Linked DNA regions of Xenopus tropicalis. The protein of the gene in region 2 binds, or shares a complex with, the protein of the main gene of each other region. Links are inferred from orthologs where the notes say so. Each region holds a gene or a part of one and is shown on either strand. Other genes may lie near its edges.

What was found.
Region 1: e2f1 (region 2) and tfdp2 share a complex: the UniProt entries of both Homo sapiens proteins name them as parts of the DRTF1/E2F transcription factor complex. The link is inferred for Xenopus tropicalis from reciprocal best matches to the Homo sapiens genes E2F1 and TFDP2.
Region 3: the proteins of e2f1 (region 2) and ccnf are in contact, whole or in part, in a cryo-EM structure (PDB 9CB3), measured with the Homo sapiens proteins. The link is inferred for Xenopus tropicalis from reciprocal best matches to the Homo sapiens genes E2F1 and CCNF. Residues at the interface, in NP_005216.1 of Homo sapiens: Gly84, Arg85, Pro87, Val88, Lys89, Arg90, Arg91, Leu92, Asp93, Leu94, Glu95, Thr96; in NP_001752.2 of Homo sapiens: Met309, Ile312, Leu313, Asp315, Trp316, Glu319, Val320, Met323, Arg349, Leu352, Gln353, Trp379, Leu380, Thr381, Asp382, Thr384, Asp504, Tyr505, Val508, Leu510, Thr511.

Annotation. Positions count from the first base shown.
Region 1 is NC_030681.2:129,561,392-129,565,144, reverse strand, and holds the start of tfdp2 (transcription factor Dp-2), read left to right. Parts: upstream 1-1,036; 5' UTR 1,037-1,245; intron 1,246-3,753. UniProt on the Homo sapiens protein: Can stimulate E2F-dependent transcription.
Region 2 is NC_030686.2:41,701,440-41,705,192, forward strand, and holds the end of e2f1 (transcription factor E2F1), read left to right. Parts: intron 1-1,616; coding exon 1,617-1,861; 3' UTR 1,862-3,334; downstream 3,335-3,753. UniProt on the Homo sapiens protein: Transcription activator that binds DNA cooperatively with DP proteins through the E2 recognition site, 5'-TTTC[CG]CGC-3' found in the promoter region of a number of genes whose products are involved in cell cycle regulation or in DNA replication.
Region 3 is NC_030685.2:22,529,305-22,533,057, reverse strand, and holds the start of ccnf (cyclin-F), read right to left. Parts: upstream 2,683-3,753; 5' UTR 2,622-2,682; coding exon 2,609-2,621; intron 432-2,608; coding exon 277-431; intron 1-276. UniProt on the Homo sapiens protein: Substrate recognition component of a SCF (SKP1-CUL1-F-box protein) E3 ubiquitin-protein ligase complex which mediates the ubiquitination and subsequent proteasomal degradation of target proteins.

The DNA.
Region 1 (3,753 bases), on a different chromosome or scaffold from region 2:
CCACTCAAGCCTGATAAAATTTGCACAAGGCAGACTGGTCCCATAGAGAAACATTGAAATAAACCATGGCAATATCCTCTGCCTCAGGCATGACAAGAGAATGTTAATCTGCTCATTGACACTCTTAATCTTTTATAGGTCATGTAGAGCTAATCCCCACCTGAAAGGCACAACCCTGAATCACCCCTTGGGGTTTTAAGCAATTCTGAAAAAAACGTTGGTGAAAAATACATTTCAAGACTATTACATTACATCTGTCATGAACTGAAGGCAAAGTAACCAATTATATACATGTTACTTTATGCACATTATTTTGTGTACCCTTAGTTATTCAGCAACAGGTGGGTAGGTTGATAGGCCAGCAGTTCATTTGTACATAGGCCTACCATAGTTGATCTGCCTCTATCAAGGCCCAAGCATTACCCTTTTGGATATTTAATGGTCTCCCTCCATTCTTTACATTCTAGTAGGTGATTTCACACAAAGCATAGAGATTTTTGGGGCAATCAAAGCACCATTTAGGTGTCTGCGGTCCAATGAGTCACATATGATCTTACTGTGTGATCTTCTGTCCTTAGTATGGTGTGTGTCTGTTCAAAATCAATAAACATGGTGCTTCCAATAAGCAAGGAAGTAATGATCTGCCCATACATAAAGCTATATGGCCATACAGTGCTGCTTATTAATGAAACAGAAAGTCATCTTTATTTTTCCTTCTAAAGTTTGCTTCTGAAATTATCTGAAATAAGCCAGCATCCCTCCTTGCCCAGTACATTGCCTGGATAATCACAATCATTAATGCTCAATTTATCCCACTAGGACAGCAGAAAACCCAGAGATTTATTTTCCTCCTGCTGAAAGGCACAGCCTATCAAATCACACTAACCGTAAACATTGTCTATCAGCCTCGCCAGTTTCCCTAAACTACAATTCCCAGCATGCCGGGGTAACCTTCTAAAGATTGTGGCTAATAAACTGCGCCGGGACTTCTGCCGTTTAAAAGTCCATGACGTAAGTGAAGCAGCCGATGCCTGAGAATTCCTAGCAACCTTCAGCCTGCCCAGGAGATAACATGCCAATTGTTTTGATTGTGCCTGGCTAGGTCTGATCGCGGATGTGCGCGGTGGATGCGCTCGACGCTCGGTTGCTCATGCCTGCCTCATTTTCAAGTTTTCAGGCAATGGTAACAAAGAGTGGCTCTAGTAGTGAGCTGGGAATAGTGAGCCAGTCGTGTCCTGTGTTGAGGTAGGTCCCTTGCATAAGGGTCACCCCTTCTATCCTCCCACTTACCTGATCCCCCCTAAGACTGGGATATATGCTGATCCCCAGGCTCTCATGGTCCCACACAATGCACTAATTTCCTGCAGCATGCTCTGCCTGGGGGGGAGGGTAGTCCCTGCTGACTTATTGGATAATATTCCTCATATTTACTTGCTTTTGCACTCTGATTTCTGGGCTTGTACTCAGGACTGCTTGGAGCTGTGGGGAGATGTAGCAGGATGACAGATTTTCATATACACCATTGTTTTAACTCTTACAACTAAGTAACCCTTCCAAGTGCATCAGGCTATATTGTATTTATATATGAATTATACCTATATATATATATGTGTGTGTTTGCCATGCTTAGTCACTGTTTGATTCCATGGTGGGTTTAGCAATAATAGAAATATTAAAAAATAACTTGCTCCTATTTATATGTACAATATATGCCCCACTTGAAGTTCCTATGCATAGACACTGAGCACAATGTTTGGGGGAAAATCCTTGAATTTTGTGCTGCTGCAAGTTATTGTAGTTATACAGTGCAGGTATATGCAATATGGGGCCCACCAGCTGTTGGGGAAACTAAAGCCCCTGCATTCCATGGAAGTCAGAGGATATTAGGGGATGCAGGGTTTTGTAGTCACACATCAGCATATTGGGAATTTCTGATCAATGGAGCATGCAACAATTTTCATGGGTAATCTTTGCTTTTCTGATGGAGTTTGTTATTGTGATGGGCCTGTGGTTAGAATGCTGAGTTCTGATTATTAGTGCGTAGTAGTGTATATAGTGTGTAGTAGTGCACATGTGCAGTTGGAGTGAACAAGTGGAGCCTTGTGTCTGTTCTGGAAACTCAAGCATCCCTGCTCTCTTGCTAATTGTACTTTCCTGTGCAGCAGGATAAGGGTGGGTGTGAGTGAGGGAGAATGTGCACTGCTGTTCTCTGGGACCTTTAATGCACAATGTATACAAACAGAAGGGGATTCTGGTTATTTTTTAGCTTTTTAAGGAACCTTGATTTATCATAGTCCTCCATTTTGTGTCACACCATTTTGGTGTGAAACTTTTACCATGGTCAGAGAAGCCATTTAGTTTTAACTGGTAGTAAAAGTGTGTGTGTGTGTGTGTGTGTGGGGGGGGGGGGGGGGGGGGGGGGGGGTTAGGGCTCCCATTTGTTCTATAGAGCCAGCTTCCTGGGTCAGACAGCCTCCTGGGGCCACATGCTGCTCAGTGGGACAGTCACTATGAAAAGCCCTAAGTGTCAGCTGTATGCTAATGAAGGCGAGAGCATTGTCTGCTGCTGCTGCTGCTGCTGCAGGGAGGAGACATTCCTCTGGGCTGCCTGATCAGTCCCACTCATATCAGTGACACATGCTGGCTGCTCCCAGTGCTGATTGGGTAAGGCCTGGCCTACATGTGCAGCCTGGGAGAGGAAAGTGCAGCACAGAGTACAATGCTGCAGTAGGAAGTTTGGTTATGGTAGTAACAATTAAGGCTAAGCACAGGACTGATTGGGCTGCATGACCCACGTGGGAAATGGATGATGCACAGTATTGTGTAGGGGTCACTGTAGAAAGATGCATATGGCACAAATGTACATTAGGCATATCTAAGCTGTGGCCCTCCTATTGTTGCACTAAAACCCCCACAACACCAGCTACATTGGTAGGATGCCAGGAATTGCTGTTAATAACAGCTAGAAGGCTGCAGATTGGAAATGCTTTTGCTTTAGGTTTGTTCCACAATATATTATGTTGGGAAGGGGGCAGAGTGAAAGGTCCCTCAAGCCTTACCTTTAAAGGTCGTACTGAGTCACATTTAGGATATTTCCTATTTCGGAGTCAGTATCCTTTATACTTGAAGTGTTCATTGTATTTTGGAAATACTGGCAATCTTGACTTTATATTTCAGCTTGTCCTATGTTTGTTTGATGGCTTGTGGCGTGAGAACATTTCTAGAGTTGCTCCTACATTATTGGCTCCAAGCATTTCCTAATTCCCTGTATTATTTACACCAATTAGGAGGCCCTTATTGAATCAGATTTGGTTTATTTATACACGAGTTGGAAGTAAGGATGTCTAATACGCTATGGGAATCTTAATATTTTGTACTCTTTGGCAGTATTTAAGAATGTTTATGCTTTGTTAGGCCCCAAGCAATGCTGATAATATATTGCATGGTGAAAGGGGGCAACGTTTCTGTCTTGGCCCCTTTCTTTGCTTTCTGTTCTTTTTTTCATATCTGTTCTGTACAGCAGTATCCCTTGGCTTTGCATGTGGGATTGTGTGTAATTCTTTGTGGTAGGGGGATTCTGGCAGTTCAGCCCCAGCTAAATGTCTGAGTTTTGGTGGGCCAGGGGCCAATCTGTCCACAAAGTTACCCTTTAAAACGTACACTCTTTTAGTTAGAACTAGGAGCTAGTTCTTTGCTTACCTGCCAGATCTACCAGTGTAGATACTCCAGTACTATATGCTATGGATTCTTTTT
Region 2 (3,753 bases):
TTACTGCTTTAGAAAACACAAAGCAAAGTCTCCAAACAAACTTGGTCTAAGTAATCTGTTAAAGGAACAGTAACACCAAAAAATGAAAGAGCTTTAAAGTAATAAAAATATAATGCACTGTTGCCCTGCACTGGTAAAACTGGTGTGTTTGCTACAGTAACACTACTATAATTTATATAATAAGCTGCTGTGTAGCCACGGGGGCAGCCGTTCAAGCTTGGAAAAAGGAGAAAAGGCACAGGTTACATAGCAGATAACAGATAAGTTCTGTAGAATACAATAGTGTTTTATCTGTTATCTGCTATGTGCCTGTGCCTTTTCTCCTTTGAATGGCTGCCTCCATGGCTACATAGCAGCTTATTTATATAAATTATAGTAGACTTTCTGAAGTAAACACACAACTTTTACCAGTGCAGGGCAGCAGCACATTATATTTTAGTTTTATACACTTTCATTTTTTGGTGTTACTATTCCTTTAATCCGATCTAACTGCTTCAGATTGCATGGAAATCTGCTGCTGTAGAGTCAGGCTGCTAAACGAGAAGCAAACCTACCATTTAGCAAGGGCTATACTAATCAGTCTCGGCTAATGAGGTCAAATTCTGGTGGCACTACAAAGTAAGGCCAGAGCTTGCAAATTTAAGGTGCAATGTTTGGTTGACAAAAACAGCAGATCTAAAAAGCATTGCTGTGGAACTGGGGATTTAATAAATCATGTGCTGGAAAGTGGCAGTTTTTTTTTTTCATTTATAGGCTTCAAAGCTTTATTGAATGGCTAGCATTACATAGAAGTATCTTGTCTGTTGTTTGGCACATAGTAGACCAACATCCATGTTGATTACTTACACCTTACTTGACTTGCTGCTACAAATTCCAGCCTACTTTAACATCACGGTATCAAGTGCATTTGGAGCTGTAGTTTAATAATATCATGGTTATATTGTAATCCATCAATGAGAATCCTACCTGCTCATGTTCTTTGTTCCTGCAACTCGAGGTGGAGACTTTGTCACAGAACATCTCAGCAGCAATAATATACAATAATACTGATGACCTCTATTGTTTATTACACTCACACTCTCTCTATAGGTGGCCATACACAGGCTGATTCTAGTTGCCAATATCGGTCCCTTAGACCGATTCGGCAGCTTATTGGCCCGTGTAGGGGCACTAACGACAGGCCTACCCGACCAACATCTGGCCTGGAATCGGGCAGGTTAAAAAATTTAGTCGGATCGGTCCTATTACCATCGTTCTAATTCGTTCGTTCAATCGGCCAAACAACTGGATTTGCTTGATATCGCCCACCTGTTGGTGGGGGATATCGGGAGGAGATCCGCTCACTTGGCGACTTCGCCAAGTAAGCGGATCTTAACGTCTATGGCCACCTTTACTCTCACTGCCGGTCAGTTCCTAAGCTCAGGAAGGGTTTAGCCCCCCACCCAAAGCTATTTGAAGCTTCTCCAGTTTTCCCTCAGTTGCGGTAAAAAATTTCCTTTCTGACACCAAGATGACAATTGGACCAGTTCCTGGATCAACTTGTTGTAAGAGCTATTATCAATAACCCTGTATTTTCTCACTCCACTAATATAACCTACTTGTCATGTTTTTTGTAGAGCCGTTCCTGCCACCAGAGAATGAAATACCTCTTGATTCTACCTTGAATTGTCTCCCACTTTCTCCCTCTAACCTCCTCCTGGACTACCGGGATGCTATGCCGGACTTTCTCCCCAATGACTTCATCAGCCTGTCTCCTGCTTCATCACAGGAGTACAGCTTTGGATTGCAAACCTGCGAGGGTGCTGCAGAACTTTTCAACTTCGACTGTGACTTTAGTGGCCTCACAGCTCTGGATTTGTAAAATAGTGCCTGAATAGGATATTTTTTTTTTTTGTCTAGCACAGAACCTATTACCAATAATCATTCATTGCTGCTCCAGTTCCTAATTGTCTTATAAGGCTATATATTCCTATGGTCCACATTCCTTTTGGAGGTTCATGTTTGTAATGCAAGAAAATCGATTTTGGAGATGTTAATTTGTATTACTAATCAAGCGCCAAAATAAATGTGTGTGTGAGTAATAAATATATATATATATAGTGTAGGTTGTCAGCGCTCAGGTTTTAAGTAATAAAGCAAAAAAGGCAACAAATTGAAAAATCAAGCAGTGAGGTTTATTTCAGTCCTATACAGGGACATTCGTCAGGGATCGAAAGTCCCTGTATAGGACTGAAACATCGGAACAAATAAACCTCACTGCTTGATTTTTCTATTTGTTGCCTTTTTTGCTTTATTACTTAAAACCTATGAGTGCTGACAACCTACACTATATAACCTACACTATATTTGATTCCTCGCTCTGGCACCTAGGTATCGCATTCTTATGGTGTGCTTCCTTTTCCATATATATATATATATATATATATATATATATATATATATATATATATATATATATATATACGCACACACACCTCTCTCCCTACTGCAGAAGATTAAACAAGAAACGAGAGGTTATAGTCTGGTCTTAGCACTTATATTTACCCATATGTGTGTGTGTATGGGGGAAATGATGCATTTTTAAAATGTTTTTCAGAGGGGTTAAGGGCTTGGTGTGGGTGGTGGAGAAAAGTGAGGCTTTAATAATGAACCTTCAAGCAGATGAACTGGTTGCTGATGGCCTAACCACTTCAGTATGTTAGTACGTAAGAGCTCTCAGCACAGACAGTCTTCGTGTCATTCTTTCTCTGAATGAAGAGCTTTGGGCCGCCCCTATTTCTTTTCCCCGCTCTTGGCATTTCCTGTGCATCCTTATAGAGGAAGTAGTATGCATTGTGACACATTTTGTTTTAATTTATTAAATCCCAGCAGCATTGTTGTCCCTTCCTTTAACCTTACGAACACCCCGTGCAAACAGCTTGCTGCCGGTGTTCTATAGTGTTGTGGTTTTATATAATATATAATTTGTTCCCTATGCTGTTTATTATGTTGATCACTTAAGTTACAGATTTTGTATATAAAAATGCACCAGGCTGAAGCTTTTGATTTGGAGTGTACAGCTAAAAAGGTTTAAAGAGTTGGGGGGGATTATTCTGTAAGTTGGTTGTTTGCGTATATTTTTACTTAAAAACTGCCCTTAAAAGTTGTATTTATAAGCGAGTTTATGTAGTAAAGTAAAAGTTAACTTTTTTTTTTTTTCTTCATTTTGTTCCCTTAATTGAGGGCTGTTCTGAATTGAAGAGCAGACGGGATCAGTGTGTTTGATTGAGCTAGCTTAATTTATCAATAAATCTATTTTCATTGCCAATAAAAAAAAACAACTTTTCAGCAAAAAGCGGTTTACAGCAAATCATCTTAAGTTCACATCCTTAATTGTTTTTGTTTCACAGCATTTTTTAATTATTACATTTTATTTAGAAAAGGAAAACAGTGCGAAACACAGAAAAAACAAGATGACGTGACGCCAAGCTATTGACAACCCCCCTCTCACTTGATGCATCTGGTTACATTGTCCCCGACCCCATGTTCTTTTTACCAGAATTATTCCATTGGTGATGTTCATGTGCCCCCAAAATCTTCCAGAATTTCTGTAAAATCTAAATGATATGTATAATCATCGGTGTACTATTAGAAGGCAGGGCCCAATGCAGATACATTTTCCAGGCCCTGGCATTATGGGTGAGGGAGTGGGGGGTTTGGTGGAGGGCAAAAGTGGCTCCCATCTTCCACTGCAGTGTGAAACTTTAAACCTTT
Region 3 (3,753 bases), on a different chromosome or scaffold from region 2:
CGTCCGTAGACTACAATTGAATAGAAAGAGTCTGGGAAATTCAAATTATAATCTTGTCAGGGATAGAAACATGGTTCTGATTTAATCTGATTAGCCTTCAGACAGCCCCCACAATCCAGACTGCTTTGGGCCCCCCTGCTACATTGTAAGAAAGGACACCAGTTATGTACAATTTGGTCAGAAATTTATACTGTAGTTACTGACCATCCAAAAAGGAACACACACATTTTGCACATGAACCAAATGAGGGGCTCATTCCCTCCCCGCAGATCTTACCTCTCGCATGGATAGGATGTCCACAGCAGGCAGGCATTCCAGCACATAGAGAAGAACATCTTCCGGCAGACTGAGCAAGGTCAGCACGCGGGGTCGCCTCTTTACTCGCCGCTTCGGAGGAGCAGCAAAGCATTTGGAGCAGCGGCAGTGCAAGGCTGGAAGGGAAAACAACGGATCAGACTGCAGATCCTGAGGAGCCACCCGTTCTACCAATGCCCTAAAGGTGTGAACTAAGTTTTCAGAAAGAAACACTCAGGGCTGGTTTACACTACATGCCAGCAGCAGCTACCTAAAGAAACCCAGGTCTCATTACTACTCAGGGCAGACAATTGCAGCAGTGGCAGTCTCTTCCATTTGTAGCAACCTTAGACTTTTCCACCATACAATTAAAATGCACCATATACAATTGTCCGATTCTATAAACTCTATATAACACAATGTGCCTGGAGAAAGCTAAATACAGCCTTGCTGCAACCTGGAGGGCCACCAATAGTTCTACATTAATGGTATAGGGCTCAATAAACCCATGGTTTCTGTGTGCTCTTAATGAGAAACAAACAAATGAAACTCACAGCAAACATTGAGGAAAGATACACAGCCTGGCTCCCAGAATAATATTTAGCATTAATATACCATGGGACAAGTCTGATTTGATATAAATTATAAACAGGCACAAAAGAAATGTACAACATGCAGCTCAGTCTGTGAATGCTCTGACAGAAATTTAAATCCCTCACGGATGCATGATGGGAGTTGCTTAAGAATTCTGCTCAGTTGAGCCCCTAGTGGCTGCTGGGCATCATTACAAGCTGATTTATCTCTCCCCTCAAATATAATCTTTCCCTTATCAGCTACTAGATCTCAACCCCAATGTGATCATTACAATTCCAGTACAGAATATAAATGATCTGAAAAGCAAATACACACTTTTATTTTCCATGCTAAGTTGTACTGGCACCAATCTATCACATTTACCAAAAATGCATCTTTTAAATCTCCAAGCATACAAAGCTGCCTTGGTGGGGGCAACTGTAGAATGTGCATAGAACATTAGATATTATAGATATACATAGATTTGAATTAACTTGTAAAAGTAACTAAACAGGACTATCAAATACATCAGTAATTCAACAGGGGAAACTCAATTTTAAACCCCCTGATTAAAATACATGAGACTTAATATCACTTTAAAAAATAGATCTTCATATAAAAGAGATGAAAACTGTGAAAATGACCCTACAATTAGATTGTAAGCTCTACGGGGCAGGGACCTCCTTCCTACTGTGTCTCATACCACATGGCACTTATATATATATTTATTTATTTATTATATCACTCGTCCTCCCTGTGTGTAATTTTGTATTCTGTAAGATTGTACAGCGCTGCGTACCCTTGTGGCGCTTTATAAATAAAGTTATACATACATACAATATTGGCAGCAGCCCCTCTATTGGGAAATAAGCCCCGATGGATCATGAGGAAAGTGTCCCCTCCCACCCACAACCAGTTACTGGCTGGCAAGTTTATTTTCAAACCAAACCCGCCCACCTCTTAACACCCAATAAACACACTAATCAACTAAAATGCCCCCCTGCTCCCACTAAAGTACCCCATGAATGTACATTAGGGAAACCTGGTGAGAGCACAGGCAGCACAGAAATAAAAGCCACAATCCACATGGGGAGCAATACACACACACAGGGACATGGGGGACACTGAGCTGAATAAAACTACAGATCAACCTTAATTATTATCTCAGGTAGTTAATTAGCCATTAAGGGGGATTTAAAGAAAAAGATAACTAGTATTTCATTCATTCTACAGCAGCTACAGTGCCAAGAGATCTGGCTATTATAAATCTATACTTCTAGGAGTATAATATTATATATAAAGCCATACATTCATTATAAACAAGTTACATTTAAAGGTCACAACCCCCCCCCCCCCCCCCCCCCCCCCCCCCCCCGGCCGCCCATCCTCCCACTTTCGGCAGAGTTTGGAGGGAGATTTAAAACTGCTGAGAGCAGGAAGTGACTTCTCAGGGGGGAATGAGATGAACACGCTCCCTGCAGGAATGCACAGCGTTATATATATATATATTCCTATATAACATGAATAGCACAATCACATAAGTGGAACCCCTAGCAGGGAAGGCGATCGGGGGAGCGCTAGGGTTTATAGGGTCTCTACCATACATTATAGGCAGGCAAACCTGTTGCTGAACTACATATCCCATCAATTTGCGCAGCAGGCGCAAACTAGAGGAATGTATGAACTGGTGATCGCAACATAAATATCAGTTATATCAGATCTACGCCTGTCAGACACTTACCTCCTCCCTTCATGCCGAGCAATTAGCTGGTGAGGTAGATGAGCAGTGGGAATCGGTGCTACCGCCTGGCTCAGAGCGCAAATTTCGATTTCATTAGGTGCCCGGCCTGCATATCCCAACTCAGGCCAGGGCTACGCCCACAGAGAGGGCAAACCAATCCGAAGCGAAGAATGAACAATAGCCACGCCCTCAAGCCAATCAAACGCTAGATGCTCTTGCGAAACCAGCCAATGGCATTTGCTAAACGGTTCCCACAGATATTAACACGCCCACATACTGACGTCACTGAGTTCCCGGAAGAACTCGTAGAGGCGCTAATAAAACCGAGATCGAAGTACCTGTTTGTTTAAGTATAAATCTATAATGTTATTAGTTTTTGCAAAGACCCGTTTTTAAGCTGCCCGCATTAATCACGGCTTTCATTGTCCGTGAAAAGAATATACAAAGCCACGCCCCTTTCTCCCAGTGTTCAGCGAGGCAGCGTGTATTTTTTTGAACGGCGCTCATGACGCGGATTGGCTCTGGCGAAGGGGGCGGGGCCATTTAAACCCAGGGCAGTAGTAGGCGGGGTGCAGGGAGGCGGGGTGCAGGTTCATCTGAGGCTTTTGGGGCATGGAAGTTTGCGCTAATGTAAAGCAGATATTGTATAGGCGGGAAGGTGAAACTCAGTGGTAGAGGGTTTGGCCGCAGGTAAGGGCGGCAATACGCGGGAGTAGGGCAATTCCTCAGCAATATGGCTGTGTCCCCTGAATGAACACTGAGGGGCAAAATTAGAAAAATGTGAGTTTATAACTTTAAGGAACCCTGTAATGGGGGACGTGTATTTTTAAACACATCAGTTAATGGAGCTTCTCCGGCAGAATCTGCATTGTAATCTGCTTTTGAAAAACTCAAACAGAATTTTTTTATATTTAATTTTTAAATTTGACATGGGGCTAGCCATATTATTCATTTCCCAGGGTGCCACAGCCATGTGATCTGTGCTCTGATAAACTTCAGTCTCACTTTACTGCTGAGCTGCAAGTTGGAATGATATCCCCCCCCTCCCAGCAGCCGATCAGCAGAACAATGGGAAGGGAGCAAGATAGCAGCTCCCAGAATAGCACTCAATAGTAAGAAATCCAAGTCCAGCTTGGGACTCCTCC